Linked DNA regions of Rattus norvegicus. The protein of the gene in region 1 interacts with the protein of each later gene in a pairwise test. Links are inferred from orthologs where the notes say so. Each region holds a gene or a part of one and is shown in the gene's direction. Other genes may lie near its edges. The genes, in order: Birc2, Ppm1k, Exosc5, Ntaq1, Nmb, Gcc1 and Hsp90b1.

Region 1 (4,109 bases):
GATTCCGTTAATGAGCTCTTCCCGGTGCCTTTATTGTGGCCAATTAAGTCCTGGCTAGTTCAACTGTTCTGTCTAGCAGGAGCATCTCATTCTTCCTACCTCCATCTTCCAAGTGTTGAGATTAAGATTGCAGGCATGCCTCGGGAATCCTCAGGAAATACTTATATTTTAATATAAAATATCTATTATATTGTTTATTTTATATTGTATTTATGTATTATATCCACATATTTATGTGTATGAATATATTTTATAATACATTATTTGTATTTATATTTTAATTTATAGTTTTAATATAATATAAAATATATAATTTTTTTCTTGTGATTAAACCTAGGGTCCTTTACCTGCAAGGCAAATATAGCAACAGTCCTTCAGACCCATGTTTTCACTATTAACAGGTGCCTTTTGTCTCCAGTCAAGTGCTAGATCAAAATAGCTTTAAATCAGAAATCAAAAGGAGCCTGTTGGTAGCCTGTTCCTATTACTTGGGAGGCTGAGGCAGGAGAATTCCAAGTTTTAAAACCAGTTTGGGTTACATTGACTTTCTAGCCAGCCTAGGCTGCTGAATAAGACTCTGTCCCTTAAAAAATGTTCATTAAGTATGGTGCATTTTTGTCTAATAGTAAATAAAAAATACATAAAATGAACAAACTTGAAATCAGGGACCAATTTTTGTCAAATGGAAATGTGCATTTGTTTTCAGTTTTGCTTGTTAAACAATACAGCGCTGTGCACTTTAAAGACAGGCATAGTTAGTACTTCAGGAGTACTTTCGCAGTGTGTGCCTTGATTTGGAGCCTTTCTAAGTAGACTTGGGAGAGGAACTGCTGTAGTTGGATGTGTTATCTAGAATGGCCGTTTTTAGACATTATTGAATAAATTGAGGAGGACAATTCTGTGCAATTAGTTTTCAAAAATATCTTTTTTTCTTTCAGATTTATAGCCCTCAAGAGCCTTTATGTTCTCCCATGTTCCCATAGAAATAAGCCCAGACATGAAGATCTGAACATTTTTATAAGAAGATGCAGTTTGCTTGGAGTACACATACACAATGAATAGTTACATAAAATCCTGAGTTTTCGAAAAGAAGACGAGTATGGTACATTTGTGCAGCAGAAAAGCCGTGGTGAAACAGGGTTCTTGTATTTGTGATAACAGAAGAAAGCCATGTCTCCAATTGACTCATTCTTAATTATAATAGACTTATAGTGAATTGGGCCTTAAACACTGGCAGACTTTATAAAATGCAGTCTAAGATTATGTACAAAATACTGTCTGTTGACCAGATGTATTAAAATGATAGACACAGAATTAAGGTGGTGATATATGAGATTTATATAACAATGAGAGAGTAATAGTTTATGCTTTAAGCACTGTTTATTTATAACAAATCCTGTAGTCTTAGTAGAGCTGTGCTGACTTCCCTGGAAGTTATGCAGTTGATGTAACCCACTTTAGAGAGTCCTGTGATAATGATGAGCTGTATGACATTAGTTCTGAGGAAATACAGGATGCAGACTTCAGGTCCTTTCCTTTGCTAGGAAAAGAAGTAGTTCAGACATCAGATTTAAGTCCTTAAAGGGAAAAGAGCCCGCATATATACAGTCAGCAGTTGCCCTATAACTAATAACGAGAAGTAGGTTCTGGGTCTATAGCTCTCGGGTTACCCAGAAGAGTTCATGTGATTTCCCAGAGAGTCCCGAGCAGTGTCTTGTCATATGAGACAGATTTGTCCTGTGAGTGTGAACTCATCAGTTCAGTCAGAAGACCGTGAATGTGTCCAGTTAGCTGTCTGCTGTCTCATTCCCGTCTATGGTAGAGATCTTGTGTGAAGTAGTGAGGAGCTTCATATGGAAGTTTAAGCTGCCAGAAATACTATTACTATTCCTGCACAGAACTCTCCCAGAGACTTGTCCAGGGTGCCTTACCCCAGTAAACTAACGGTATAATGGAGAATAGCACAGTCTTGTCAAATTGGACAAAAGAAAACAAAGAAAAAATGAAGTATGACTTTTCATGTGAACTCTACAGAATGTCCACATACTCAGCTTTTCCCAGGGGAGTTCCTGTCTCAGAGAGGAGTCTGGCTCGTGCTGGCTTTTACTACACAGGTGTCAATGACAAGGTCAAGTGCTTCTGCTGTGGCCTGATGCTGGACAACTGGAAACAAGGGGACAGTCCCACTGAGAAGCACAGACAGTTCTATCCCAGCTGCAGCTTTGTGCAGACTTTGCTTTCAGGCGGTCTGCAGTCTGCAGCTAAGAACACGTCTCCTGCGAAAAGTAGATTTGCACACTCGCTACCTCTGGAACAAGGTGGCATTCATTCCAGCCTGCCCTCAAACCCTCTCAATTCTAGAGCAGTGGAAGACTTCTCGTTGAGGATGAATCCCTGCAGCTATGCCATGAGTACAGAAGAGGCCAGGTTTCTTTCTTACAGTATGTGGCCATTAAGTTTTCTGTCCCCAGCAGAGCTGGCCAAAGCAGGCTTCTACTACACAGGGCCTGGAGACAGGGTGGCCTGTTTTGCCTGTGGTGGGAAACTGAGCAACTGGGAACCGAACGATGATCCTCTGTCAGAGCACAGGAGACATTTTCCCCACTGTCCATTTCTGGAAAATACTTCAGAAACGCAGAGGTTTAGTGTATCCAATCTCAGTATGCAGACACACTCTGCTCGGATGAGGACGTTTCTGTACTGGCCATCGAGTGTTCTTGTTCAGCCTGAGCAGCTTGCAAGTGCTGGATTTTATTATGTGGATCACAATGATGATGTCAAATGCTTTTGTTGTGATGGTGGCTTGAGATGTTGGGAACCCGGAGATGACCCCTGGATAGAACATGCCAAATGGTTTCCAAGGTAATTGGTTCTTTTTGTTTGTTTTCAAGACTGGGTTTCTCAGCGTAGCTTTGGAACTCACTCTGCAGACCAGTCTGGACTTGAACTCAGAGAGATCTACCTGCTTCTGCCTCCTGAGTGCTGGGATTAAAGGTCTGTACCACCACTGCCAGGCTTGGTAATTGGTTCTTAAAAACTTTTAAAATTTGTTTATTATTGTGGTATGGAGGATTGAACCCAGGGCTTCACATCTGGTTGACAAATTCTCTTGCTTACATCCCTAACCTCTTAATTTTTATTATTGCTTAGAATAAATTTAAGAGCACAGTTGTTAGTGAAATAAAATTGGAATTTTTGTATTTGACACTGATCAGCTATGTGCAGTTGGACCTCATTTTTAAAATGAATGGACTGTTAGGTGTTTTTGTTATGTTAAAATACACATAAAGTTTACTAATTTAGCCATCTGAAATGTATTCTTCTGTGGTGTAAAGGACACGAGTACTGTTTTAGAGTCACCCCCAGAGCCCTCATCCTCTCCAGATGAAACATCCTCTACACTTGCACACACCCCCGGCACCGACCCTTCTGCCTGCTATATCTGAACCTTCCTACTCTAGGTACTACATCCACAACGTATATAAGTGGGAGTATACAGTAAAGAGAGCTTGGACCCCTGCATGCCGTCCATGGTAATGAGGAATTGTTGGACTCTTTGAGGGAGTTACAGGGACCTTTCACTTCTGTATGGTCCATGATGAACAGGAATTTTGATTTAATTATTTATATTGGATCAATACATTGTTAAACAGTAAATAGTTATATGATGGGCCAGGTAATGCACCCACGTCCACATGCCTTTAATCTCAGCCACTGGGAGCAGAGGCATGCATTCTACTTAGCAAGTTCAGGTCAGCTAGGAGAGTATAGTGAGACCCTGTCTCCAAAATAAAATTATCATGAACTATGATCAAAATTTTTGTATGTCAGGTCCAATGTAGTGTTAACATTCAGGAGTCTGATACAACTTTTGAAACCAACTTGGACTACTTAGAACCGTCTCAAAAACCAAAACAAAAAGATAGATTTTGATTCCTTTCTTTTGTTGTTCTGAAAACTGATATATTTAATTTACTTAAAAGTGTTAATTTTGTCTAGATGTGGTGGCACACACTATAATTCTAGCAGTTTGGAGGCTGAAGCAGTTGTCCAGTCAACATTAACTTGGGCCACATTGTGAACCCCAGACCAACTCAGGTGGCAAGACT
Region 2 (4,443 bases), on another chromosome or scaffold:
CATAAGCTATGATCGAATTGCAAAATGGAAAGGTATCAAGACCCCGACTGTATAGCAACATGGGAAAAAAATCTTACAAATACATCGTTGAGCCACAGTTAGCCAAGTAAGCAAATAGAACGCATAGGTTGCGGTTTAATACACATCAGGTGTAAAGGCAGAATTAATCTGCTGTGTTAAAAGTCAGCACAGAGGCTGCTCCTGCAAGGAAGCAGTAGTGAGATGGCAGGATGAACTGCTCCTGGGCTTAGAAACATTGTCTTGGTCAGGTGCTGGATACAGAGTCAGGCTGCATGTTGTGAAGATCTCTTGAGCCACATCCAGTATGCGCACTTTTCTGTCTGTATGCTAGATCCAGTAATAATTTCAAGAGCTTTATGAAAATTGACTCTCTACCCAACACAAGTCATTAGAGTTAGTGAGGCGTCAACACGAATATCGCTGTCTAAACGTATTATTATTAAATGCACTGGATCTTCAGATGCTCTTGGGCCAGGAGGTGCAACTAGGCAACACGACTTAATTATGAATTATAAGAATATTTTTAATTAGAACTTATTCCATTCATATATTGAGCATATTCTTTCCCCTTCCCACAATTCCTTTCACATACCCCCCCACTTCCTTACCCACTTAACTTTGTGTATGCACTCTCACTGTCTCAAACAAAAACCCAAAAATCAAAACAAAAACAAATTAAGACTAAAAAGTGTCAAAAAAAAAAAAAACCACCCCCACACAAAAACCATGGAGTTAGTTTCGTGTTGGCCAATACTCCTGGGCAGGTTTCAGTAGTGTGCTCATACAGCCTGAAAGGCATCTGCTGTTGCCTTTTGCTCAGCTCCATCTTTCCTTGACTAGTTCCTGTGGGACTCAGCGCCCTACGTAAATTCACTGCCCAGTGTTCTCCATCCACACCTCAGTCATTCCCTCTCTTGATGTGATTTTTCTTTTACTGTTTATTTGTTGCCTTGCTTCCTCTTCTTCCTTATTAGACCGAAGGTTCTAAAAGCAGTTAGATTATTTGAGTCATTTGGGACGCCCCCAGATCCTAGGCAATGCTTCCTTCGAAAGATGGAATTTTTATGGTATGCAGGATAGTTGCGAGCCATCCCAAGATGCCTGTTATGGCAGTCCAAAGAACATTGCTCTGTGATTTGTTAAAGAACGAGCAAGAACACTGAATGACGTACAAGTGCTCTACAAGCAAAGCGTAGCTGTCCTGTTCTCTTTCGGGTCACAGCCAAGATAACTCTGGCAGAAGCGATACTCCTTCCTGTGGCTAGCGAAAAACAAGGTCCCTGGCGTCTGATTCGAGGCCGCCAAGGCTCATCGGGAGGGCGGGGCGCCATGTCGAACAGCTACTGGCCCAATTTGACGTCTGTCTACAGGGCTTAATTGGCAATCTGAGAGGCCAAATCGCCAGTGCAGGAGGCTCGTTCTTATCTAGATCCGTAATTGGCTCAGATTGAGGGCGGGCAAGGAGCCCTGCCCTGCTGAGCACCAACTGGCTAGCGTTGTTGTCAATCATCAGAAACATACTCCTCCGGGTCTCCATTTGGCCAGCTGCGGTTGAAATTTTTTTTCAAGAATTTCCAGGAGTGGAGGAGGCTGTGGCTTCTCTAATTGCTTGGTCTGGAGATCAGAATCAACAGAGAACTCAGCTTTATTTATCATCCAAGAAAGCCTTCCCTTCCTTCCATTAGCCAATTAAGAAATTTACAGACACAAGCCATTACAAGGTAAGAGCCTGAAGAGTTCGATTCGTTTATTCTCCTAGGTTATTGACAAGACATTGGCGGTCCCCGGAGGTCTTCAGGAAGGAGAAAGAGAAATATGAAATGAGTTCCTGCAGCTTACTCTGAGGCCGAGTCCTACGCGCATCTCTCCGGGCTCGATGTGCTCCCCGTTTCTCGAGGTGGAGAGCAGCTGCTCTCGCCTAGGCCCTCGGCGGCTGTGCCCGAGCATCCGGCTCCCCAGACACAGCCCCGATCGGCCTTGAACTTGACCTCGGGCTGGAAGTGAGCGCCAGGGAAGCAGGGATAGTGGGATGGGCGGGGTCCCATGGAAAAATCAGAAAGCGAGCTAAGATAACTGAAGCCGCTCTGATTCCTCGCAGCGAGACCCCTTGGTGCGCTCCAGCGGGCTATAACAGGCTTCCTCCGGACCTATTTCTCGGCCAGAAGACTCCGGATGCCGGGAGATCTGCTGGGCTGCCCGGGCTGGAGAGTGTTCTGCCACGTCCAGCTTTGGTCAAGGCCAGTAAACCAGCCCAGAACCCTGTCCATTCGGGACTTGTGAAGAGACTGGTTAGAAAAGGGTTGTGGAGCCCTGGCGGTTTGTTTGGATCTGAGAGCTTGTGTTTTGCCTTGGTAGGAGAGCACTATCTTAGGGACATGTGGCTCGAGGTGCGGGTTTTCGCAGCCGCTTTCTGCATAAGAGAAAATTTACCCGGAGGAGACAAAGATTGAGGCTCTGGGTAGAAATAGCTAGAAAATTTCGAGTCTCAAAAGCTCCACTGGTGTTTTCGTTGTAGGAGCTGCAGGAATAGAAACTGCGAAGCCCCTTACCCCCAGGTGTGCACCAACCCGGTTGAGCAGATGTGGCCTCTGCTGGACCCGTACCCCGGTGAGAAAACCTGGGGGCGGCCTGAGATCCAGATCTCCAGAGCTTCGCGGAAGGGAGGGTGTCGTCTTGCTGGTGTGTGTTGGAGCTTGTGGAAATTGGAAACCAGCTCACCACTGTATGACAAGTGTCATTAAATAGGAAGCTTTGGATAATGGGTTCTTGTTTATAATTGTTTTTCTAGAAATCCGAGTCTCTTTTTCCTTGACTACATCACACACACCCCTTCACAGAGTTGAGTAATACTTTTCCATACTGTATTCTCAGTTCGCCTATCCAAACAGACTTTCACATACGACCTAAGGGAGTCGTTGACCTTTTTGTTGTTTTCTTTTCTCCAGTAAACTAATACATTTTCTTTCTTCTAAGAGGACATAAAGACATTAAGATTGCCGATTTTCTAAAGTTCATTTCTGAAGTTTTCAGATGGCTTTAGTTATTTATTGGGGTGCACTGGGTTTTTGCTGGTGATGATGGATGGTGGTAAAGAAATTTGGAGTTTGAGAATATTAAAAAAAATCAGGCTGGTGATGTGGCTTGACTAGTAAAAGTGACCGCCTGCTGATTTCTAGCACCAAGACCTACTTTAGGGCACGAGAAGGTATGCCTACAAGATGTCCTCTAACCTGTGACTGCCTGTGCTGGCCTGCACTGCCACATACATACATACATACATACATACATACATACATACATACATACATACATACATACATATAAAAATTATCATGTGTTTCCATTATGGGAAGATAACAAAGTGCCACTTTATAGTTACCTCACCAGCTTCCTAGAGGGCGGAAAAATCTAAGCCCTCTGCTGATTGTCAGAACCCCCAGTTAGTTAATCCTGCTGGGTGCTTGCGTAAAGTGGTAAGAATGAACTTCCTCTTTGAGTTGTTTTTGGCATTCAAATTCCCGGTGTCAAAACCTGCTATGGAGATAATGCCTCCTTTTTCCAAAAATGAAATTGAACAGCTCTGGAGTTAAACTACTGAGCAAGTATAAAGACCGGGAAGTATGAAAAGTAAAGTTGGTGCGATAGTCTTGCATCTGTTTGTGTGTGGGGGTCCCTGTGCTATGAAATGAAATGGTGATCTGCAAACTTTACGAGGCAGGTGCTCTGTTTACTGATGGTTTTTCTTGTTAACTGGGTCTTAAGTAGTCCAGACGGGCCGTTCATTCCTGACCCTCCTGCCTCACCCCTCCAAGTGTCGAGAATCTAGGGGTGGACCACCCCACAAAGCTCCTTTGTGGATGTCTTTGGCCTGAGATTGCCGCTCTGGAAATGTGTGTTTCACAGTACTCTCTTGAAGACAATCTGTGATTATGACGCTCTCACAGCTTCTTTAACTTTTTGAGCTGAGATTCCTGCTAGATGGAGTTACTTATATGGCATTGATGTTGTTCTAACATTGCAATTTTATTTAGTTCTTCATTTCTTTCCTGTCAATTTTCAAGTAGCAGGTTGAGGAGGAAGATGGGGGAGAAAGGCTTAGTCACATAAATCATGTGGAAATGGTGGGAAAGGCATATTTTCATATATTTATAATAGAGAATGTAAGCTAAAATGCATTTTTTAAAAAATATTTATTTTAGGTGAGTACAAGGTCGCTGTCTTCAGACACACTAGAGGATGGAATCGGATCCCATCACAGATGGTTGTGAGCCACCTTGTGGTTGCTGGGAATTGAACTCAGGTTAACTGGAAGAGCAGTCAGTGCTTTTAACCTCTGAGCCATCTCTCCAGCCCCTGGAGTGCATGTTAAATTTTGGACATGAACATAAATTTAAAGACTGATGTGGTTAAGTTGTGATGCAT
Region 3 (4,356 bases), on another chromosome or scaffold:
TTTTTTTTTTTTTGAGAGAGGGTCTCATGCAGCTCAAACTGGCCTCAAATTCCTTGCCTTCCACCTCCCAAGCGCTGAAATTACAGACACATGTCGCCATATCCAGATAAACAAAAAGCGCGGGGCTAGGAGCCAAATTCTGGACGTGGCAAGTGTGAGGCAAGCATTCTGCACTGTGGTACATCGCCAGATCGCAACAGCATTTGGAAGTGTTATCCTGCCCTTATCAACAATAGATCAAAAGAGATTCCGAGTTTTCTCGAGTGTTTTCAAGAAAAGTGGGCAGCCAAGCACCGTAGCGCACATCTGTAATATCAGGACTTGGGAGACTGGGACAGGACTATCTCCAGTTCGGATACCTATCTAAGCATCTGGGTGAGCTAAAGGCCATCCCAGATGAGTGGGTGAGATCCTGTCTCAAAAAAAAAAATAACGTGGGCAAAGGGTCCTGTTTGAACTTCTCGCTCTGTCTCCCTTCATGATCATCTTCTGTAAATGACAGTCATGGAAAAGTCCCTCGCCTTGAATTTTGGTCAGGGGACATAGGAAACAAACGAGTTTCTTGCTCGACTCCCTTTACAATTGGAATTTAAGTAATGTAGAACCCTATGAAAACCTGATCTGTCCTTTCAACCCCCGTCTCATCCCTTACTCGTCTCCTTCCATCGAAGCCCGCAAGTAGCTGCCTTGCTTTTGCTCTAAAGGGAGCCTTCCCTTGAATTTCTCTTCAAAAAGTTTCCCGGTCCTTTTCTTTCTGAATCTGCTCTTCCTTCACAGCCCGCGGTGCCCCACGCACACTGTAACAATAACAGTTACGTCTCTATTTCTCCCCAAGAAAGACACTGTGGGGGCCAGGTACTCACGAATCTAGCCAAGCCCCGAGCCCCAGGTCGCCCCAACAGCAAGAGGGCAGCCTGGCGCAGGCCACGGCTCGGCCTCCAGATCTTGGCCGCGGACATCGCTACCGCCATCTTGGCTAGTAACCACTCCTCCTTTCTCAGGAGATAGACATGCGTCTGTCCCATCAGATGCCTTATTCAAATCTCAGCACCACTAGGCCAACGCACTATTTTCTTCCAACCGCCTAGCAACAAAGACGTAGAAATAAGTAAGTTGACCATTTTTATTCTTTAAAATTGCTCCAGTCGTCTGCTTGGAGTTGTTCCAATATCAGGCAATAAAAAGGACAACCTCACTTGAACCTCCAGGGTTCAGGGCCCGGGGCCTTGGGCAAAATGGGCCTAGTCCAAGTCCTGCCCCTTATTCCCTATTCTCCAATGGCTTTGCCAGAATTGGGAGGTGGAGGTGGGCAGGACCAGATTGTTAGTAAACGCCGAGCCACGTGCTAGGGCCACTTCGGGAGTGCCCTAGATTGGCGCTTGCGCGGTAGGTACACGGCCGGTAGAACTGCGCGTGCGGCTGAGCGGAAGCTACGGTAGGAGCCCCAGCGCGCGTGGTCAGCGGCTATGGAGGGAGCAAAGCGTGCAGACGCCAAGGTACTCACTGACACCGGAACAGAGTCCAGCCCTCGAAGTCCAGTCTGCAGCCTCCGGCACTTTGCTTGTGAGCAAAACCTGCTGTCCCGGCCGGATGGATCTGCTTCTTTTCTGCAAGGTACGACTTTAACAAGGTTTAACTCAGCGCGCGCCATCCTCACCGAAGAAGGGTTTTTGAAGAGCGGTTACTGTGTAGTGTGCAACCAAGTACGCCCACCTCCTTGGAGAATTTATTTCTAGATATTGCGTATACCCACCTCCCGACTCGAGAAGAAATGATTTGGCCAGGCTGGTCAATACCTCTTGGAAGAAATCCAGGGCAAGACCCCTCTCCTAAGAGTGAATATTCCAGAATAGGTGTTTCACCAAGGCAAATATTATCCTTGACTAGATTTCTTAAAAAACACTTCTGGATCCATACATCATCGGTTGAGGCTAAGGTGTTTATTTGCATAAATACCCTTTGAGACAGACACATCACCACTACTGGTTTAAATATAATTACTGTGGCAGGTGATATACCTAAGTAAATGCTCTGAAAATTGAACGTGATCCTCCCATCCTGGGCTAACAAGTAGCTCCCCTTCTCTGGTCCCATCATTTGAGAAAACATGCCTTTCCTTGGTATACACGTCTCATCAGGGTAAATGAATAGAAAGAAAAGAGAGATCTCGAGGCTGAGGCCCACATAACCCTGTATCCCAGTCCAGCCAACCAACTTTGAGAGGTCATGGGAGGGTAAAAAACTACCAGAGTAGACAAATGAAGAGGACAAAGATGGAGTTGACAATGGGGAGTTGTGTTTGAGATATTAAGAGCTGATCACTTTATGGCTAGTAAGTTAGTGTGGGGTAGTGGTGGGTCAGAGAGAGCAAGAAAGGACAGTTAAGACAACTGTTCAGGCATTTTCCTGGGAAGGGATCTGGTAGATGGGACAAGAGTTGAAGACTGACAGGAGCTTAAGAAAAGAAATAACACCTTTAGTCACAACACTTGGGAAACAGAGGCAGGGTCTCTATGAGTTCGAGGCCAGCCTGGTTTGTGGAGAGGAGTTCCAGGAAACCCTGTCTTGGGGAGAAAAAAAAAGGGAGACAACCGGGAACTGGAGAGATGGTTTGGTGGTTAAGAACACTTGTGGCTCTTGAAGAGGACAAAGTTCAGTTCCCAACATCTATTCAGGAGGCTGTCAAGCACTTGTAACTCAGGAGCTAGGGGATTAGAAGCCTCTGCATGCAGGGACACACACACACACACACACACACACACACACACACACACACACACAGAGAAAGAGAGGGGGGGCTTGCACAAGCATGCATGCACATAATTAAAAATAAAATAAATCCTAGGGACTGAAAAGGGGAGAATTTCTGTAGCCCCGTTGTAGAGATGGTGGGAAAGAAGAGACTATTTTGCTTGCCGAGAGCACAGTTTATACAGCAGAACAGGAACAGCTACTGTGTAGCTCTAGTAAGCACCTGAGTCTAGTTGGGTCACTTCTGGTTTCAGGGCAGATGTTGGCGCTAAGACCCTGTCCCATTGGGTTTCCTTGGAAAAGCACCCGCAGATGTAATAGTGTTCTCATCCCAGGCTGGCTCCTGGTTTTGCTCACTTGCTAAACTCAGCGTCTCCTGTCTCTCGAGATATAAGAAATAGAATGGGAACCCTTCCATGTTCTAAAACTCTAAACCACGGGGCCCTGGTGCAAATTGGAGACCTTGCAGACTTTCAAAAAGAATGTTGCAGATGGGGCTGGAGAGATGGCTCAGTGGTTAAGAGCACTGACTGCTCTTCCAGAGGTCCTGAGTTCAATTCCCAGCAACCACATGGTGGCTCACAACCATCTGTAATGGGATTTGATGTCCTCTTCTGGTGTGTCTGAAGACAGCGACAGTGTACTTATATATAATAAATAAATAAATCTTTTTAAAAAAATGTTGCAGACACATCTGACCTCAAAGGCTCCTGCAAGAACACCCTATGGGAGGGGGCGTGGCATCAGTGAGCAGTGCAAATGATGGGTATATGTGATAAATGACACACTAACCCTATTACTTCATAGCTGACCTCATTAGGCTCCTCTTGCTCTAATAAGGACCATGACCAGAAGCAACCTGTGGAGGAAAAGGTTTGTTTGGCCTACATACCCCAAGTCCATTGAAGCAGGAACTGAACCATGGAGGAGCCCTTGCCTTTCATGGCTTGCTCAGCCTGTTTTCATTTATAACCCAGGACCACCTGCCCAACAGCAGCGCCGCCCACAGCGAGTGGGACCCTTCCATATCAGTTGTTAATCAGTGAAATGCCTTGGGTCCGGGAGTGTGTGAATTCCCCTGCAGACTTGCCTACAGACCCTTCTGATGGAGGCAGTCCCTCAGTTGCCTCAGTTGAGTTTCCTCTTTCCAGGTATGGCTAACTCGTGCTGAGTTTACCAAATGCAAAGCAAAGGAAGTAACTAGCCAGCACAGTGTCTTACCTTACAAGCAAAATTGATAAAAAGAAAAAAACCCAACAAAAACAAAACCGATGGTACTGAACCCCTAATCCTAGCAGCAGGGAGATAAATAAAGGCAGGAGGAGCAGCTCGTGCCAGGGTCACTCAGCTGCACAGCATGGGCGAGGCCAGCCTTGACCACACAGAACCTGACTGCAGAAAGTCCAATGGAGGGCTGGAGAGATGGCCCAGTGGTTAAGAGCACTGACTGCTCCTCCAGAGGTCCTCAGTTCAAATCCCAGCAACCAACCACCTGTAATGGGATCCGATGCCCTCTTCTGGTGTGTCTGGAGACAGCCACAGTGTACTCATATAAATAAAATAAATAAATCTTTTAAGGGGCGGGGGAAGGAAGGAAGAAAAAAA
Region 4 (3,768 bases), on another chromosome or scaffold:
AAAGGGCTGGGCTCCTAATGTCCTTCAAGGATACACCCCCAGTGACCAGGACACTTCTCACTAGGCTTCACTGTGTTTTTGTTTTTAAGGTCTCAGTATGTAGTTCTGACTGGCCTGGAACTCTGCATGTACCTCAGGCTGGCCTTGGACTCGCAGGGACCCACCTGCCTCTCCCTCTTGAGTGTCAGGATTAAAGTGTGTGTCACCACACCCATTCTGGCTTCACCACTTGAAGCTTCCACTGCCTCTCTATTGCCACCCTGATAAGTAAGCCTTCAATACAAGGTTTTTTTTTTTTTTTTTTTCCCCCTGGGGGTGAGGGTGAATGGGTAGTGAAGATCCGAAGTGTAGAAGATACCTTTGAAGCCTTCTTTTGCATTCATGCATGTGAATAAGTATATGCTTCTTAATGCACATTTTGATCTTTACATGCTCAAACCTTGAAATATAATACAAAATACATCTGCGTCCTACAATCAGTTTTTCTGTCCAACTATAGAACATGGGGTGTTACGGAACAGTGTGTCACACACTGATTGTTTAGCCGTGTCCCAGTCACTGGCCACTTTTCAGAGTTGCGGCTTTGTGTTTCCTCTCATTTAGCTTAGGAGTTACAAGGAGAGGACGTTAGGCCGACGGCTGCTTCCCTGCTAATGTGCTGCTGTGTGCTGACCGTGATGTTGGGATGGACCGTCCTGCACTAACTGGGTTAACCTCAGTGATTATTATTCCTAGGATTATCATGTCGTTCTGCTTCATGTGTCAAGGGAAGGACAGAGCTTCATTTATGACCTTGATACTATTTTGCCATTTCCCTGCCCTTTCGACATTTACATAGAAGATGCCCTTAAGTCTGATGATGACATTCATCCACAGTTTAGGAGGTGAGGAAATTCAGTACCAAGCTACTGATTTTCTGAAGTAAGACTTGGTGATTACACAGAAGTCCCCTCTCTGCCTCCTTCCTCCTTTCCCTCCCTTTCCTTTTCTCAGTCTTTTTCTCTCTTCTCCCCTCCCCCTCTGCGCTTCCTCTCCCTTCTCCTCTGTCTCCACCCTCCTCTTTCTGCATTATTGGTGTGCCTGTTATGCAAGAGCTTAAGAGCATCTTAAAGCTTTAAAGGTTCCTCGTCATTCAAAGGGTTGGCGGCATTATAAATATCAGTGTGCTGAGGACCAGCCAAGCTTGAAGACCCAGGTTCCATCTCTGAGATTCACAGGGTGGAAAGAAAGAATTGATATCTATAGATTACCTTTGACCATAAACACACACACACACACACACACACACACACACACACACACACACACGTGTTAAGAAAAAAGTGTGGGTTGGGGATTTAGCTCAGTGGTAGAGTGCTTGCCTAGCAAGGCCCTGGGTTCGGTCCCCAGCTCTGAAAAAAAAAAAAGAAAGAAAGAAAAAAGTGTGATGAGCTCAACATTTTCTTTCAGATGTGTTGAGGGTTTTTCTCTTGTTGCTGGAGTGTCAGCATGGCCAATGTTGTCAAAATCAAGAAAGTTGCAAGGCAACAGCAAAAGTCCTACCCTTTGCCCCTTCTGTGCAGTGTTACTAGAATGCTGGACCCCTTATGTGTAAATAAGAACAACTGGGTGATTTGCTCTCTGTATTTTCACAGCTTGGGGTTTCAGTCATTCCCTTCCGCTTGTACTAGCCACGCACATGTGCATGCATTCGTATCGGTGTGGAAACTCAGGAGTAGCCTTGTGTATCTCATAGAACAGAGTCCAGTTAGCAATGAGTTGGATTGCCAGCGGTGATAACTCCCTGATAGAAACGTGTGTTGATTTACCCGCAGGAAATTCAGAGTGGTTCGTGCTGACTCCTACTTGAAGAACTTTGCTTCTGACCGGTCTCACATGAAGGACTCGAGTGGGAACTGGAGAGAGCCCCCTCCAGAGTACCCCTGCATTGAAACTGGAGGTGAGCTGTGACTTTGCCTGTTCATTGCTCAGATCTGTGTCTCTCTTAGTCGGCTTGTTTAGTTTTGAGACAGGGTTTCTCTGTGTAGCCTTGGCTGTCTCGGAGCTCGCTCTCTAGACCAGACTGGCTGGCCTCTAACTCACAGAAATCCTCTTTCCTCTGCCTCCTGTGTGCTGGCACTAAGGGCATGAGCCACCTCTGCCTGTCTAGCCATCTTTGGAGAAGCTCCCCAAGTGGTGAGGATAAATGAGGGTACCCGTCCTCTGTACCTCCTGGATTCAGCAGTTAAGGCACAGAGAACAGGACTGGAAGGCAAAAGCCTTCTTGGGGAGAGTCCGAACAGAGGAACAGAAGCCATGGCAGTAGCCAACTGCTTGTTGTTGTAAACGTCTGCTGGGATGTTTACACACCGGTGTGTCCTACTGGGATCAGTAGCACATGGCTGTGCTGGGGTTTTATTCACTGCTAAAAGAAATCCCCGGTGCATCCTCCCAGTGTGTGAGGTGTCATTTTAGTAACCCTGTAATAAACCTATGTTCAGAGAGTTTTATCGTGACACTTCCTTTCTGTGCTTCTCGGCAGTAGTCCAGTTGAGGGCGCCCTGAGAGTTAACAGAGCAGGCTGTTCCCTCTGTTTACTTTTGTTCCGTACTCATATGCTTTCGAGACATTGTCTGTGACTGTAAATTGTTCACACCATTCCAGTTATGGGTGAGATCATCCCATCACATGGCTAATGTGGTCTGCAGGAAAATGGCCTGTAGGCTATGCAGGATTCTTCAGAAACAGGGCAAGGTCATCAGTAGCTCTTTAGGGAAGAAAGCATAAAACAGCTAACGTATTTGAAGGGCATGGACTCTTAATGAGGGTTCTCAAGTCTCAGCAAGAAGATAATGAAAGAAACCACAACAAAAACTGTAATTGCTTCCTCTTGTCTTACCCTAGCTTTCCCATGACAGCCATGAGAGCTGTGTTAGGAAAAGGTGACTGGGTACCCTGGGGCTAACCTGGGCACCTAGTGCCTTGGGGTGGTGGGGGGAGGTGACTGGGTACCCTGGGGCTAGCCTGGGCACCTAGTGCCTTCCGGGGGACCCATTTCCTGTGTAGATGTGGATTCCTGCAGCCTGGTACTCGGTTGATAATTAGCACACGGTCTTATCAGGACTTGGTCCTTTTCTTTGCAACTCAGTGCACAGTAGGTCATAGCACATGTGGCCTTATCAGCCGGTAGCTCTAGGTGCCATGCTAAGCTTTAGCTAGCTTCTGCACATATAAACGTAATCTGTAATGCGAGCTGGGAAGATGGCTAGATTGGTCAAATGCCTGCCGAACAAGCATGAGGACCCGATTTGAATCTACACTCCCCCCATCCCCCTGTCTCCTGGAGCAGAGATTTTTCTCTATAGCCCTGGCTGTCTTGGAACTCACTCCATAGACCAGGTTGACCTTGAACTCACAGACCTGCCTGCCTCTGCCTTCCCAGTGCTGGGGTTAAAGGTGTGTGCCAGTACAGCCCAGCTGAGTTGGGATCTTCAGTGCCCACACAAAAGGCAGGTGTGGTGGCATCTTTAATCCTAGCACAGGAGGGGTGGATCCCTGAAGCTGGCCACATTAGTTAGACCAGTGAAGCCCAGGTTCTATGAGAAACCTTCTCTTAAAACATGGGTGGGGAGCTACCAAGGAGGACACCGATGTCCATCTCTGTTTTCCACCTATGTGAACGAAGCACAACCCCTCGTACACACACATAAACAATCCTGCACTGTCTCTCAAGAATATTGTTTTTTGGGGGCGATTTTGGAGGAGTTGTAGGAAGAGAAAGAATATGGC
Region 5 (4,568 bases), on another chromosome or scaffold:
GCCAGGGGTGTGGGCAGGCACCTAGAATCCCAGTGCTGGGAGGTGGAGACAGGAGGATCCCTAGGAATACTGCCTAGCCAGCCTTAAATCGGTGAGCTTCAGTTTCAGCAAGAGACCCAGCCTCAAGACAATTGGTGCAACAAGGCTGAGCTAAGCTCAGATTCTTACAACGTACAAGACGAACTGTATGTACACATATGTGTGACCAGTGTCCTACGGTGAGATGAGAGTATGGATGAGAGAATAACCCAGAATCTGCATGGCAGACAGCAGAAGCAAGAGACCTTGCCCCAAACAAAGCAGAACTGACCCCTGAAAGTTGTCCTCTGGCCTCTACATGTGGGTGTACACACACACACACACACACACACACACACACACACACACACGGAATACAACTGAGGGAAATGCCTAATGTGCTAACCCCTGACATCCACAGAATGCAAATCCCCCTCCTGGGACGGTGATCCACAGGACACCTGCTATGTGTAGGAGGAAGGACAGCAGACCAAGGTGAGCAGAGTGGCTCACACTATGGTCTACATAGCGAGTTCCAGGACAACTGAACTACATAGCTCATGTCTCAAAGCAAAAAGATTATGCTAGGAGGCTCAAATGCTGCAGCAAAGGGTCCAAGACCTAACACCACATTCCATCATCCACTCCTTGCCCTTGTTTCCAATGAGAAGGTGAACTCTTGGAAGCCAGGAGTTGGCATCCCCTCCTGTCCCTCCCACAATGCTCAGTTGGCACATACCTGCCCCTGCTCACTCAGTGGTGCCACTGATGGCTGAAGGTATTTTCCAAGACTGGTAAGGACAGCTCTGGAAGACAGTTCTGCTCCTCTGCAAGTACTTGTACTGTCAGGCAGTGGTGCACACCTTTAACCCCAGCACTCAGGAGGCAGAGGCAGGCAGCTCTGAATTCGAGGCCAGCCGCGGCTCCGTAGTGAGTTCCAGGACAGCCAGGGCTACACAAAGAGACCATTCCTCGAAAAGAAATAAACAAGCCACAAATAGTTGTACTAAAAAATGCAAAACTATTAAAGGTATATATAGGTGGTGTGGTTATTTCCGTTTTACAATAGAAGAAAGTGTCATCTGGTCCAGCAGTCTTTCTACTGATCTGACCTACAGGGTAGGTCGGCCTAATACCGAGTATAGTAAGCCAGGCCCTCCAAAGGGCGCCACTCCTCGCTCCCTTCCCCATCATTCTGTCCCCATTCTGGGCACAGAACTTTTCCAGGTTGCCCAGTGTGTGCCATTTGTGAGAGCAGAGCGGTACAAGCAAGGCTCAGATGGCTTGAGACAGGAGGTGACAGGATTCTTTCGTTGGAGTTTCTCTGCCGGATGATGCCAAACACATGCTGCCAAGAGCAGGGCTTCTTGTTCCACTTTAGCTTTAAGGAGAAGCTTTGAGGGCTGATGTAACACGATGGCAGAAAGCTGTGTTGGTGGCCAAGGAGGGTCTTGGGAACCACCTTTGCTGGGGTGGGGGCGATGCCACATGCCAGGTTGCACGTGACTATAGTAGGTTTCTGCTAGAAACCTCAGGGTGGCAAGGCTGTGTGGGCGGAGCCTGCAGGGGGCGGGGCTCTGGGGCGGAGCGAGCTCCGCTCCTCAGGCAGGCTCCGCTCCAGACTGTAGTTTAAAAGGCTGGAAGGCGGGCTTCAAGAACTAGCTAGTATCCTGAGAGTGCCAGAGAAAACCCGTTTGGCACAGCCATGACCCGGCAAGCAGGGAGCACTTGGCTGCTCCGTGGTCTCCTGCTCTTTGCCTTGTTCGTTTCCGGCATCACCCCCTTTTCCTGGGATCTCCCGGAGCCCCGCAGCCGAGCAAGCAAGATTCGAGTGCACCCTCGGGGCAACCTCTGGGCGACTGGTAAGTGTTAGGGGACTCCGACAGGGATGCCTCACTCACCTTGGTACTCAATTGTCTTTTCAACCCTCTGGAGGCTCTTAGTAGCGGAGCTCCTGCAGACCCGTGAGCTCATCAAGTTTGAGAGACGGGAATCTTGGGACCCTAGCACTCACAGACATGGCTAAGATAACCCACTTAGCAAGTTTAAGACAGAGCTGGGCCAGCATCTTAGTTAGATCTGGTTACCAGTCGATCCCCCTTCCCTTAGGCAAACTACCAGGTTTTCTCACCTGGTATCTTCTCTGCATATCCATCTCGAGGCACCTTCTCCATTTCCTTCCCTGGTTGGTAATCTCCCTGGTCCCGAGCTATCTACCCTTCTTCGTCTTGCAACGGGTCAGCTTTCCTCCGCCCAGAGATCTGTGGCTTCTTGCTGAGGAGAATGTTTCTTATCTACCCTCTGTGAGAGCTGAATGGTAGAATAGACCAGAACTTGCTTATGGTAATAGGGCCCTCATCCCTAGCTTCCATGTACCTCGGCACCTCCTTTTTGTAGGTCACTTCATGGGCAAGAAGAGTCTGGAACCCCCGAGCCTGTCACTGGTGGGTACAGCACCCCCTATCACCCAGAGGGAGCAGAGACTACAGCTGAGTCATGATCTGCTCAGGATCCTCCTGCTACAGAAAGCGCTAGGCATGAACCTCAGTGGTCCAGCTCCCCCAATCCAGGTAAGTCCCTTCCCCAGTACCAGCACGGAAGAATTGCCACCCTGTATGGGTTCAGGGTGGGACTGCCTAGCCAGAGCGGAATGTGAATGGATTCCAGAAAGCCAGGGTCCCAGGGCTCAAAGGAGGAATATCCCAAAGACTAAAACATGACGCAGCAGACTACAGGGGAAAGGAGTTCCTCCTTGCCCATCCCCAGTCTGAAGTCACAGACTAGGAGTACTCTAGCCCTTAAATAGAGTGTTCTCCAGGCCACACAGCCTTGTCCACCCCAGCTGTCATCTGGTGTATTAGCCAAGCCCACCTTTGCCATGCCAGTCTGTGCTTGTGTCCCGAGCTGTGATCCCTGAGGCCTAGAGGTGGAAGGAAAGTTACCAGTCGTGACAACTCAGACGCAGCCTGCTCATCAACCTCCCCATCCATTTCCCAATGCCAGTGCTCCTGACAGAAAGGCTCTGCAGGGCTGTCTTGAGCACTAAGGAGGCTTAGCACATCCCCGGTCTCTACCTACCAGATGCCAGTGGCACATTCCTTCCTCACCAAGTTGTGATAACCAAAATTCCCTCCAGACCAAGAGCAATGCACTTGCCTGCAGTCCCAAATGCCTCAGAGGTTGAGGCAGGAGGATGGTTTGAGATAGGGAGTTTGGGGAAAACAAAAGCCAAGGCCTTCAGACATTACTGTTGGTTGTAAAGCATTGACCCGTGGTGCTCAAGGCCGTGGGGTTCTGCCTGGTTGGGTGGCAGCCTCTCCATTCTTGGCTCCTGGTGTTGTCCCCACTGCACACTACTGTCTTGGTATTTGTAGCTCTGTACAGAAGGTAGTGTGATGGGGCAGAATGCATGTGGAGGCCATACCTAGCTAAGTAGCTAAGTGACCTTAGAAATATGTTATTCATCAAATAGAAACAACAGGCCCACCTCCCAGTAGATAAGATCATTAGTGTCACATATGCAGTCCAGTGCCAGTCACACAGAAAGCTCTTGGTAAGCAGGAGCTCCTACCACATGTCTGCAAGCCTCTAGCAGGGCTTTGCTGGTGACACCCTTCCTGTCCCCCACTACACTTAGCACAGTGTGCACATTCTCAAAGAAGAGACATTCCTTAGAAGCAGGTCTACCTCCAGTCCCAGCGAACATCCCTGGAACCTCGGATGCAATAGTGAGAAATTTGGGCTGGCTGAATGGGGGCGGGGGGGAGCATCACCTCTAGGGACCAATCAGAGAATCTCAGAGGGTGCAAAGCTGCCATGGCCAGGGACAGGGAGAATTCAGTGAGATCTGGAGCAGAGCTTGGGGGGTACGGCATGTCACTGACACTTGTCTAATGCCTTGGGCTTGATTTCTGTAGTGCCCTTTGGTTGTCATGACTACCCTGTGAAAGTTAGGGCTAGATTCTGGGAAAACCATTACCCCTGACTCCTCAGGTCTTTCAGGGAGAAGGGTTCTCACTCAGAGGCTCAGCTGAGAGCCTGTCACTACTGCCCCCCTGTGTACACTCAGCATATCCCTCATTCGTGGACTCCAGGATCGAGTTTTCTCTTTTGCCTTCAGTACAGGAGGCTGCTGCAGAAGTGACGCCAATAATGGAACAAACACGGCACTGGGCGTAGCATGCGTCCATCCAGGGAAACTGAGGAATGGAACCCTAGCAGTGGCCTCCTCTGGATGTGAAACCTAAGCTCAAATGTGTTACTCTGTTACTGTGATTTCTGGTTGGGTCACCAGGAATGTTAACGATACAGACACAGTCTTTCCTGCTGTATTTCTTGCTTCCCTGGTGAAGTTGTGAATAAAAATACTGCTCTTTACGAAGACTGTCTGGGCCTCTCCTTCCACCCACATTTGAGGAAAAAGGGAAGGGCTCTCTGGAGGGTGGAATGTTCAGAGAGGTGGTCTTGGGAAAGCCCCATCACCTCTCACCCTGGCACCAGCCAGACAATGAGTGGTTGCCAACTCTCAGCAACCAGGTATTGTGTTGGCT
Region 6 (4,568 bases), on another chromosome or scaffold:
AGGCGCGTTTGCGGAAGAACTGAAGTCGAGCGAGGCCTGGCAGCCTGCCTGGGGCGGAGGGCTTGTTCGGGGTCGCTAGTCTCCGCATGACTTTGCTTTACTCTTAAGTCATAGACTTGCACTCGTAAGACGGCTTTGATAGGGTCCACACGAACATGTAAAAGATCCTCAAAGTAGCATATTGTCTATTGTTTTGAAACACTATGTAGCCTTGGGTGGTCTGGAACTTGCTATGTAGACCAACCTGGTCACGAACTCACAGAGATGCGGCCGGCTTGGCCTCCTGAGCAGATTTTTATTACAGAAATATTTTCTTCAAACGCGTTCTCTCTCTCTCTCTCTCTCTCTCTCTCTCTCTCTCTCTTTCAGAGTGAGCCTCCTCACAGGCTTGGTATCTTCATAATATCACAGGAGTCTTCTTTGTTTTTAGCCCCTCCCCACTTTTATGTTGTGTTCGTGTGTGGAGGTGTGTAGAGCTCAGAGAACAACTTGTAGGGGTGTGTTCTCTCCTTCCACCGTGTGGGTCCTGGTGATAGAACTTAGGTCAGGTCACTGGGCCTGGTGAAAATCGTCTTTACTGCTGAACCATCTTAAAAACCCCACAGGAGTCTTGATGGAATGGACAAAAGCAAAGAGTCTTGATGGTGCCCTCCGGAGATGAAAATCTTTTAATGTCTTGTCACCCAAGATGAAATCTAAATGCCTTTAAGTTGGGTCCTACCCTTTGTTCCAGATTCATCAATAGCCACCCACCTCCCACACCATAAGCTTCCTGGGCAAGTCAGGCTCACTGATAGATACCTCAGAGGTTCCTGTAAACGTTTCCGCTTTTCTTGATGCTGGTTTCCCACATTTGCAGTTTGGCAGTCTTTACTCATTCCTCAAACTTCAAGTCATTTCCCCTAAGAGTCTCTGTCCTTCTGACAGGTGCCTCGCCTCTTTTATACCCTTCAACTATACCCTTACATACTATACTAGTGTGAGGGCAGCATCTACTTGTTTGCATGTCCTTGCTGTTAGGAGTTTCTCGGGACCAAGGCCATGTTTCTTCAATGGTGCCATCAGGCATAGCATTTAGTATGGTGAGAGGCAGACTGAGATAGGATTCCTAAACTTACTAGCTGAGTGACATTGGGCATGTTACCCCTCTGTACATTTACTGTATGTTCCAGTAAATGTAAATTGGTGCTAATGATACCCTCTGAACAGAATTTTGCAAAGACTAAATAGCAAAAACTCTTGTGAGACAGCCCCCACCCCAGCATATGCTGGTATGCAAGATGGACCTTATAGCTATATAATGTCCCTCTTACTAAGCAGAACTAAACAAGGGAGCTATTATGTTAACTAGGTACTGGGCTCGTTTTCCTAGTATGAGTCCTAACTGTTGCCCTAAATGTTGGAAATTGCCCCAAATAGTTTGATGCGTCTTTCATCGTTTTTTTTTTTTTGGGGGGGGGGCAAATGCAGTGTGACGTCGCCCCCTGTCGCTCACTGGTGGTAGTTTGAGGGCAAAGTTAGGCATCTTCTCCAAACAACTGCTCAGGTGATCTTGACTTCGCTTTGGGTAACTATACCTACAGGTTACTCTCTCTCCAGGCCACCAGCGAATACTGGGTGCGGAAGCCCCACCCATCTCATGCCCGCCGGGGGCGGGGTCTGTGGCGTTTTGCTGTCGTCACTTCCAGTGGACCCGGAAGCGTTGTTGTCCCAGTTGTTGGGAAATCGTGATGGAACCGGTCTTAGTGTAAATCCTGGGCTGATCGTGGGCGGAGGGAGGCGGGTCTAGGTTGCGGTGGCCAGGCGAGCAGCTAGGGCGGCACAGGATCAGGGCCTGTACCGGAGAGCCCTGGCTGAGTGTTCCTGCTAGGCCAGCGTCACTCCGCATCCAGGTTGGAACTGTTTCCCACCTTCGGCCTGGCTCTCACAGTGCTTTTGCCTGGCCACCGCGGCCCCTCATCCCGCCCGGACCGCTGGACGACCGGGTGTATTGCCTGCAGCCAGACGATTCTCTCTGCTTTACTTCTAGCTGTTGTGGCTCTGTCCAGGGCTGCAAGAACGCTGACGTGGAGCATCCCACTCCGGAACCCTCATGGAGAAGTTTGGGATGAATTTCGGGGGCGGCCCAAGCAAGAAGGATCTCTTAGAGACCATAGAGACACAGAAAAAGCAGCTTCTCCAGTACCAGGCAAGGCTCAAGGATGTGGTTCGCGCCTATAAAAGCCTGCTGAAGGAGAAAGAAGCCCTGGAGGCCAGCATCAAGGTACTGTCGGTATCCCACGAGGCAGATGCAGGCCTCTCAGGTGTGCAGCCTCCGGGTCTCACGTTTCCTGATTCTGTGGATGACCGGTGCTCCACTCACAGTGAGGATAGCACCGGAACTGCCACGAGCTTGGATACCGCAGCCAGTCTTACAAGTGTCAAGGGTGAATTTGGGGTTGAAGATGACAGAGTGGCCCGTGGACCACTTCCTCCAAAGTCTGAAGAGGCCAGTGGGTCAGAGAGTGGCGTTAGCAGTAGCAGTGGGGATGGGCCATCTGCGGGTAGTGAGATAGACAAAAGAGTGCATCAGCTGAAGACTCAATTGGCCACTTTGACTAGCTCCTTGGCTACAGTCACTCAGGAAAAGTCCCGAATGGAAGCGTCTTACCTGGCGGATAAGAAGAAGATGAAGCAGGACTTAGAAGATGCCAATAAAAAGGCAGAGGAAGAGCGGGGCCGCCTGGAGGGAGACTTGAAGGGGCTGCAAGAGCAGATAGCAGAAACCAAAGCCCGACTTATTACACAGCAGCACGATCGCGCCCAGGAGCAGAGTGACCATGCCTTGATGCTGCGGGAGCTACAGAAGCTTTTGCAGGAGGAGAGGACCCAACGCCAGGACCTGGAACTTCGGCTAGAAGAGACCAGGGAAGCCTTGGCAGGGCGGGCGTATGCAGCTGATCAGCTAGAAGGGTTTGAACTGCAGACCAAGCAGCTGACCCGTGAGGTAGAGGAGCTGAAAGGTGAGCTGCAAGCCATTCGAGAGGAGAAGAACCGACCAGATCCCCGGCTGCAGGAGCTTCAGCAGGAGGCTGCCCGTCTTAAAAGCCATTTCCAGGCCCAGTTGCAGCAAGAAATGAGGAAGGTAATTATTTTTATGTCCTTCAAACAGTTATTTTAACTTCCATAGGAAATATTAGTATCATTTTTCTCTTTTGGTCATTAGATAACTGTCGTATATGTGCACGCTCCTGTGCGTGTGTGTGTGTGTGTGTGTGTGTGTGTGTGTGTTTCATGAGGCAGGGTCTTCTCATGTAACCAAGTCTGCCCTCATAGAGATCTGCCTGCTTTTCCGTACCAAGTGCTAGTATTAAAGGCACCCTCTTCTCTACTTAGAACAGGGTTTTGTTCTAGTCAAGGAATGCCTGATGCTTGTTAGTGGGTGAGTGCTGGGATTGTGGTCGGTTCCACCTTCCTGATATGCACACTGATATTTGATGTCAAGTGAGAAAGTCCACTAGTGAGTCCTAGGAAATCTTGTTTTGTGTGGTGTCCTTTTAACAGGATGAGGAGTTTCTGAGTATTTCTGGGTTCAAGCCAAACAGCTCTATCTAGGCCTCTGGGTGTTGGCATCTTACCAGTGTGGGCTGTTTGAGGCAGTATAGTGACAGCTATTTAGGGAAAGATTGTGTGTGTCCTGAGAAGTGTGTGCTTATAGGTAGGAAGGAAGCAAAGGGGGTTTTCCTGGGAGAAGCGTCTCGTGTATGCGCTCGGTTGAGGTTTGCCTGTTTTAGAACTAAAACTGTTTTTGCAGTGTTCCCTTTCAATGGAGAGAGGGATCCAGGTTGGTTTTCAGTTTCCAGGAATGTTGGGAAAGGGAAAGAATGTTATGCGGCTTCTTTAAATGATTCGGAAGGTGCGGGACTAACAGGAAGGAACACATTTTGTATTCAAGCTTAGTGAAAAGTGGGAAACTGTGGTAGAAACAGCACATATACAAAGGAGTTTCAATTATAAATCCCGCTTGTTCTGGGTCATCCCAAGCCCTGTTCACTTCTGTCTTGCTCCCCCATATCCGGTTGACTGTAGGGTTTTGTGACTTTCCTGGACGCCTTGTCACCTGTTCTTTGCTTTGCAGACAGCCCTTGCAGAGGACCAGCTTCGCCAGCAGTCTCAGGTAGAGGAGCAAAGGGTAGCAGCCCTGGAGAACCAGATCTCTGAGGTGTCTGAACTGCTGGGCACCTATGAGAAAGCCAAGCAGAAAGACCAGCTGGCCATCCAGAAGTTGAAGGATCGAATTTTACAGTTGGACTTGGAGAACAAGACACTGGCCCTTGCAGCCTCCAGCCGGCCCTCTCTTGACATCCATGGAGACGAATCCAGTCTGGATATCAATGTCTTGAAGGACAAGATGGAGAAGCTCAAGAGGCTCCTGCAGGTTGCAGCTAGGAAAAGCCAGGTGACCCTGGATGTAGAGAAGCTCTGTGACCCTGATATAATGGCCAACTCAGAGGCTGCGGATGGGGAAAAGGCTACTGCGCTTTACTACCAACAGGAGCTGAAGCAGCTGAAGGAAGAGTTTGAGCGGT
Region 7 (2,684 bases), on another chromosome or scaffold:
ATGTTGAAGCAAGTGAAGCAAGGCTGGTCTTTGACTATTCAAAGAAACTCTACCAGACACAACATCAGTGCAGGCCTATAATCTTAACAGCTTGAAGGAAAAAGCAGGAGGATGACATGGTCATGCTAGTTAAGCCAGGGTTTGCGGCTACCCTAACTTAAGACCATCTCAAAAAGGAACTTGTTTGATTCTGAGATTATTGGATCTCAAAGCTGTTACATTCCCCCAACCCTTAGTACAGTTTTGAACAGAGATGAAAGCAGGGAACACACCTACCTACTGTCTGTCCACAGTTGACCACATACTAGGCCTTTCAATAAGCCCTTTTGCCAGTATTGTTGTGATTAGAAAACTAGGGTTTTTGTTTTGTTTTTAAGCATTTGAAAATATTAGTCATTTTGTCTAAATATCTGAGCTGTAGCACTAGAATATTAACATTAGAAACAGTTGTTGTTAGTTCTAACACAGTCTGATGTGGGAGCGCTGTGGTTCTTCCTGTCCCTTGATCAGTAGTGTGGCCATTGTGCTGCCTCAGGTGCTGCTATCCTGGTCTCTTTAGCAAAAGTTTGAGAGAAACCTTCCTAACCAGATTCCATTTTTCTTTAGGTGATTAGGAAGAAGCTTGTCCGCAAAACTCTGGACATGATCAAGAAGATCGCTGATGAGAAATATAATGACACTTTCTGGAAAGAATTTGGCACCAATATCAAGCTTGGTGTGATTGAAGATCACTCAAATCGAACACGGCTTGCTAAACTTCTTAGGTTCCAGTCTTCTCACCATTCAACTGACATTACTAGTTTAGACCAGTATGTGGAAAGAATGAAGGAAAAACAGGACAAAATCTACTTCATGGCTGGGTCAAGCAGAAAAGAGGTAAGATGAAGTGCAGCCGCTAGGTTCCTGGTAGCCAGCTGGGGGCGTGTAGACAGTGTGTGAGGGAAAGAAGTTAGTCGTGTAGCTGGACTAGTTAGACAGCCGCTAGAGGACACTGCCTTATGTCCCTGTCTCACACGGGGTTGTTAACGGTATGGAGACACAGCTAATGTGCCAAGGCAGAACTTGAAAACTCATACTTCCTTTAATCTTGTAGGCTGAATCTTCTCCGTTTGTTGAGAGGCTTCTGAAGAAGGGCTATGAAGTTATTTACCTCACAGAGCCCGTGGATGAATACTGCATTCAGGCTCTTCCTGAGTTTGATGGGAAACGGTTCCAGAATGTTGCCAAAGAAGGAGTGAAGTTTGATGAGAGTGAGAAAAGTAAAGAAAGTCGGGAAGCAACAGAGAAGGAGTTTGAGCCTCTGCTCAACTGGATGAAAGATAAGGCCCTCAAGGACAAGGTATTTGGACCGCAGACTGTAGTGTCTCCACACAGGAATTAACAGCAAGCTAGTCTACACCCAGTTTGTTCATTACCACTAGCAACTGCAGACAGTGGCGTGTGCCTCGGGTACTCGGGAGTGACAACAGGGACCTGGACATAGAGCTCAGTGATACATTCATTTGTTGTGGAAGACCCACCTGCCCCTCAAAAATGCCATCAAATACAGGGCAGTGTGAGTTTGCAACTTACAGCAGTTTCCTGTTGCTGTAATACTGATTTTTACTAAGTTTTTACAGGTTTAGTATAAATTTGTAGCTGAAAAAATTCAGATTCACTGAGTGTCTATGCTCTGGGATGGTGACTGACACTGCTGATCCTTCCTTCTGTCTAATGTTTCTCATTCTAAGATCGAAAAGGCTGTGGTGTCCCAGCGCCTCACAGAGTCTCCCTGTGCCCTTGTGGCCAGCCAGTATGGATGGTCTGGAAACATGGAGAGGATCATGAAGGCACAAGCATACCAGACGGGCAAGGACATCTCTACAAAGTAAGAAACTGGGGGTGCCCCTTCCAGGGTGCCAGATCTTGTTCTTTTGAACTGGAACATGTATCACCCTGATCTTCCTTAGTTTTGCTTTAGAGTAAGAATAATGTCCACATTTACATCATGCCTCACTAGCGGTTTTGTTTTGGGTTGTTTGTTTGGTTGGTTTTGAGACAGGGTTTCTGAGTAGCTCTGGCTTTCCTGGAACTCTGTAGATCAGGCTGGCCTGAACTCAAGGAGACCCACCTACCTCTGCCTTTCTACTGCTGGGGTTAAAGGCATTTCAGACCTGCCTGACTCTCTAAGACTTAAGTTCTTCGTAAAGAACACTGCCGTATATCTTCTATCCAACGTTGTAGTGCCATTTAAAACCCAACTGTAGTGTCAGCAAAGTTACTCACCATTTCAGCACTTACTGCATTACACCTAGTTCCAGACTTGGTGAACATCAGACTGTCAGGATGACTGTCGGAAGTACTCTAAGCCCTAGGTGGATGTGTGGTATATCTGGCCTTGGAAAAAGCTAATGACCATGCATGTATACAGCATGCACTGGAAACTTAATCGGGATCTATTTAAAAATAAGTGAATTTTTAGGGACACTGGTAAAGGCATATTGGAAATTATATATTTACACAGCATCCATAACTATGTGACTCATTGGTATAGGTAAAATATTAAGGGGATGAACAAGACATTAAACCAGTTCATTCACCCAGCAGAACTTGGTTACTTTGACTCATCATTAAGTGGTCCCTTTTATTTCATTTTTATCACTTAACCATGGCTATTCTAGGCTTTTTTCTGTAATTAAAGCTAG

The links.
Region 2: the proteins of Birc2 (region 1) and Ppm1k interact in binary tests that used the Homo sapiens proteins (3 or more experiments, as listed by UniProt). The two-hybrid records come from large-scale screens. The link is inferred for Rattus norvegicus from reciprocal best matches to the Homo sapiens genes BIRC2 and PPM1K.
Region 3: the proteins of Birc2 (region 1) and Exosc5 interact in binary tests that used the Homo sapiens proteins (3 or more experiments, as listed by UniProt). The two-hybrid records come from large-scale screens. The link is inferred for Rattus norvegicus from reciprocal best matches to the Homo sapiens genes BIRC2 and EXOSC5.
Region 4: the proteins of Birc2 (region 1) and Ntaq1 interact in binary tests that used the Homo sapiens proteins (3 or more experiments, as listed by UniProt). The two-hybrid records come from large-scale screens. The link is inferred for Rattus norvegicus from reciprocal best matches to the Homo sapiens genes BIRC2 and NTAQ1.
Region 5: the proteins of Birc2 (region 1) and Nmb interact in binary tests that used the Homo sapiens proteins (3 or more experiments, as listed by UniProt). The two-hybrid records come from large-scale screens. The link is inferred for Rattus norvegicus from reciprocal best matches to the Homo sapiens genes BIRC2 and NMB.
Region 6: the proteins of Birc2 (region 1) and Gcc1 interact in binary tests that used the Homo sapiens proteins (3 or more experiments, as listed by UniProt). The two-hybrid records come from large-scale screens. The link is inferred for Rattus norvegicus from reciprocal best matches to the Homo sapiens genes BIRC2 and GCC1.
Region 7: the proteins of Birc2 (region 1) and Hsp90b1 come close enough for resonance energy transfer, tested with the Homo sapiens proteins (2 studies listed by BioGRID). The link is inferred for Rattus norvegicus from reciprocal best matches to the Homo sapiens genes BIRC2 and HSP90B1.

The regions. Positions count from the first base shown.
Region 1 is NC_086026.1:13,268,741-13,272,849, reverse strand, and holds the start of Birc2 (baculoviral IAP repeat-containing protein 2), read left to right. Parts: upstream 1-1,309; 5' UTR 1,310-1,951; coding exon 1,952-2,862; intron 2,863-2,943; exon of another isoform or gene 2,944-2,994; intron 2,995-4,109. UniProt on the Homo sapiens protein: Multi-functional protein which regulates not only caspases and apoptosis, but also modulates inflammatory signaling and immunity, mitogenic kinase signaling, and cell proliferation, as well as cell invasion and metastasis.
Region 2 is NC_086022.1:88,940,818-88,945,260, forward strand, and holds the start of Ppm1k (protein phosphatase Mn(2+)-dependent 1K), read left to right. Parts: upstream 1-1,531; 5' UTR 1,532-1,742; intron 1,743-1,748; exon of another isoform or gene 1,749-2,021; intron 2,022-2,119; exon of another isoform or gene 2,120-2,258; intron 2,259-2,536; exon of another isoform or gene 2,537-2,700; intron 2,701-4,443. UniProt on the Homo sapiens protein: Serine/threonine-protein phosphatase component of macronutrients metabolism.
Region 3 is NC_086019.1:90,294,526-90,298,881, forward strand, and holds the start of Exosc5 (exosome complex component RRP46), read left to right. Parts: upstream 1-1,383; 5' UTR 1,384-1,466; coding exon 1,467-1,614; intron 1,615-4,356. Other genes in the region: Bckdha (2-oxoisovalerate dehydrogenase subunit alpha, mitochondrial), read right to left, coding at 864-971. UniProt on the Homo sapiens protein: Non-catalytic component of the RNA exosome complex which has 3'->5' exoribonuclease activity and participates in a multitude of cellular RNA processing and degradation events.
Region 4 is NC_086025.1:91,587,358-91,591,125, forward strand, and holds part of Ntaq1 (protein N-terminal glutamine amidohydrolase), read left to right. Parts: exon of another isoform or gene 1-735; coding exon 736-884; exon of another isoform or gene 885-1,414; intron 1,415-1,814; coding exon 1,815-1,939; intron 1,940-3,768. UniProt on the Homo sapiens protein: Mediates the side-chain deamidation of N-terminal glutamine residues to glutamate, an important step in N-end rule pathway of protein degradation.
Region 5 is NC_086019.1:144,278,513-144,283,080, reverse strand, and holds Nmb (neuromedin-B precursor), read left to right. Parts: upstream 1-1,658; 5' UTR 1,659-1,723; coding exon 1,724-1,880; intron 1,881-2,415; coding exon 2,416-2,588; intron 2,589-4,138; coding exon 4,139-4,162; coding exon of another isoform or gene 4,163-4,197; 3' UTR 4,198-4,403; downstream 4,404-4,568. UniProt on the Homo sapiens protein: Stimulates smooth muscle contraction. Induces sighing by acting directly on the pre-Botzinger complex, a cluster of several thousand neurons in the ventrolateral medulla responsible for inspiration during respiratory activity.
Region 6 is NC_086022.1:57,999,313-58,003,880, reverse strand, and holds the start of Gcc1 (GRIP and coiled-coil domain-containing protein 1), read left to right. Parts: upstream 1-1,695; 5' UTR 1,696-2,092; coding exon 2,093-3,124; intron 3,125-4,117; coding exon 4,118-4,568. UniProt on the Homo sapiens protein: Probably involved in maintaining Golgi structure.
Region 7 is NC_086025.1:22,999,688-23,002,371, reverse strand, and holds part of Hsp90b1 (endoplasmin precursor), read left to right. Parts: intron 1-606; coding exon 607-876; intron 877-1,093; coding exon 1,094-1,339; intron 1,340-1,730; coding exon 1,731-1,867; intron 1,868-2,684.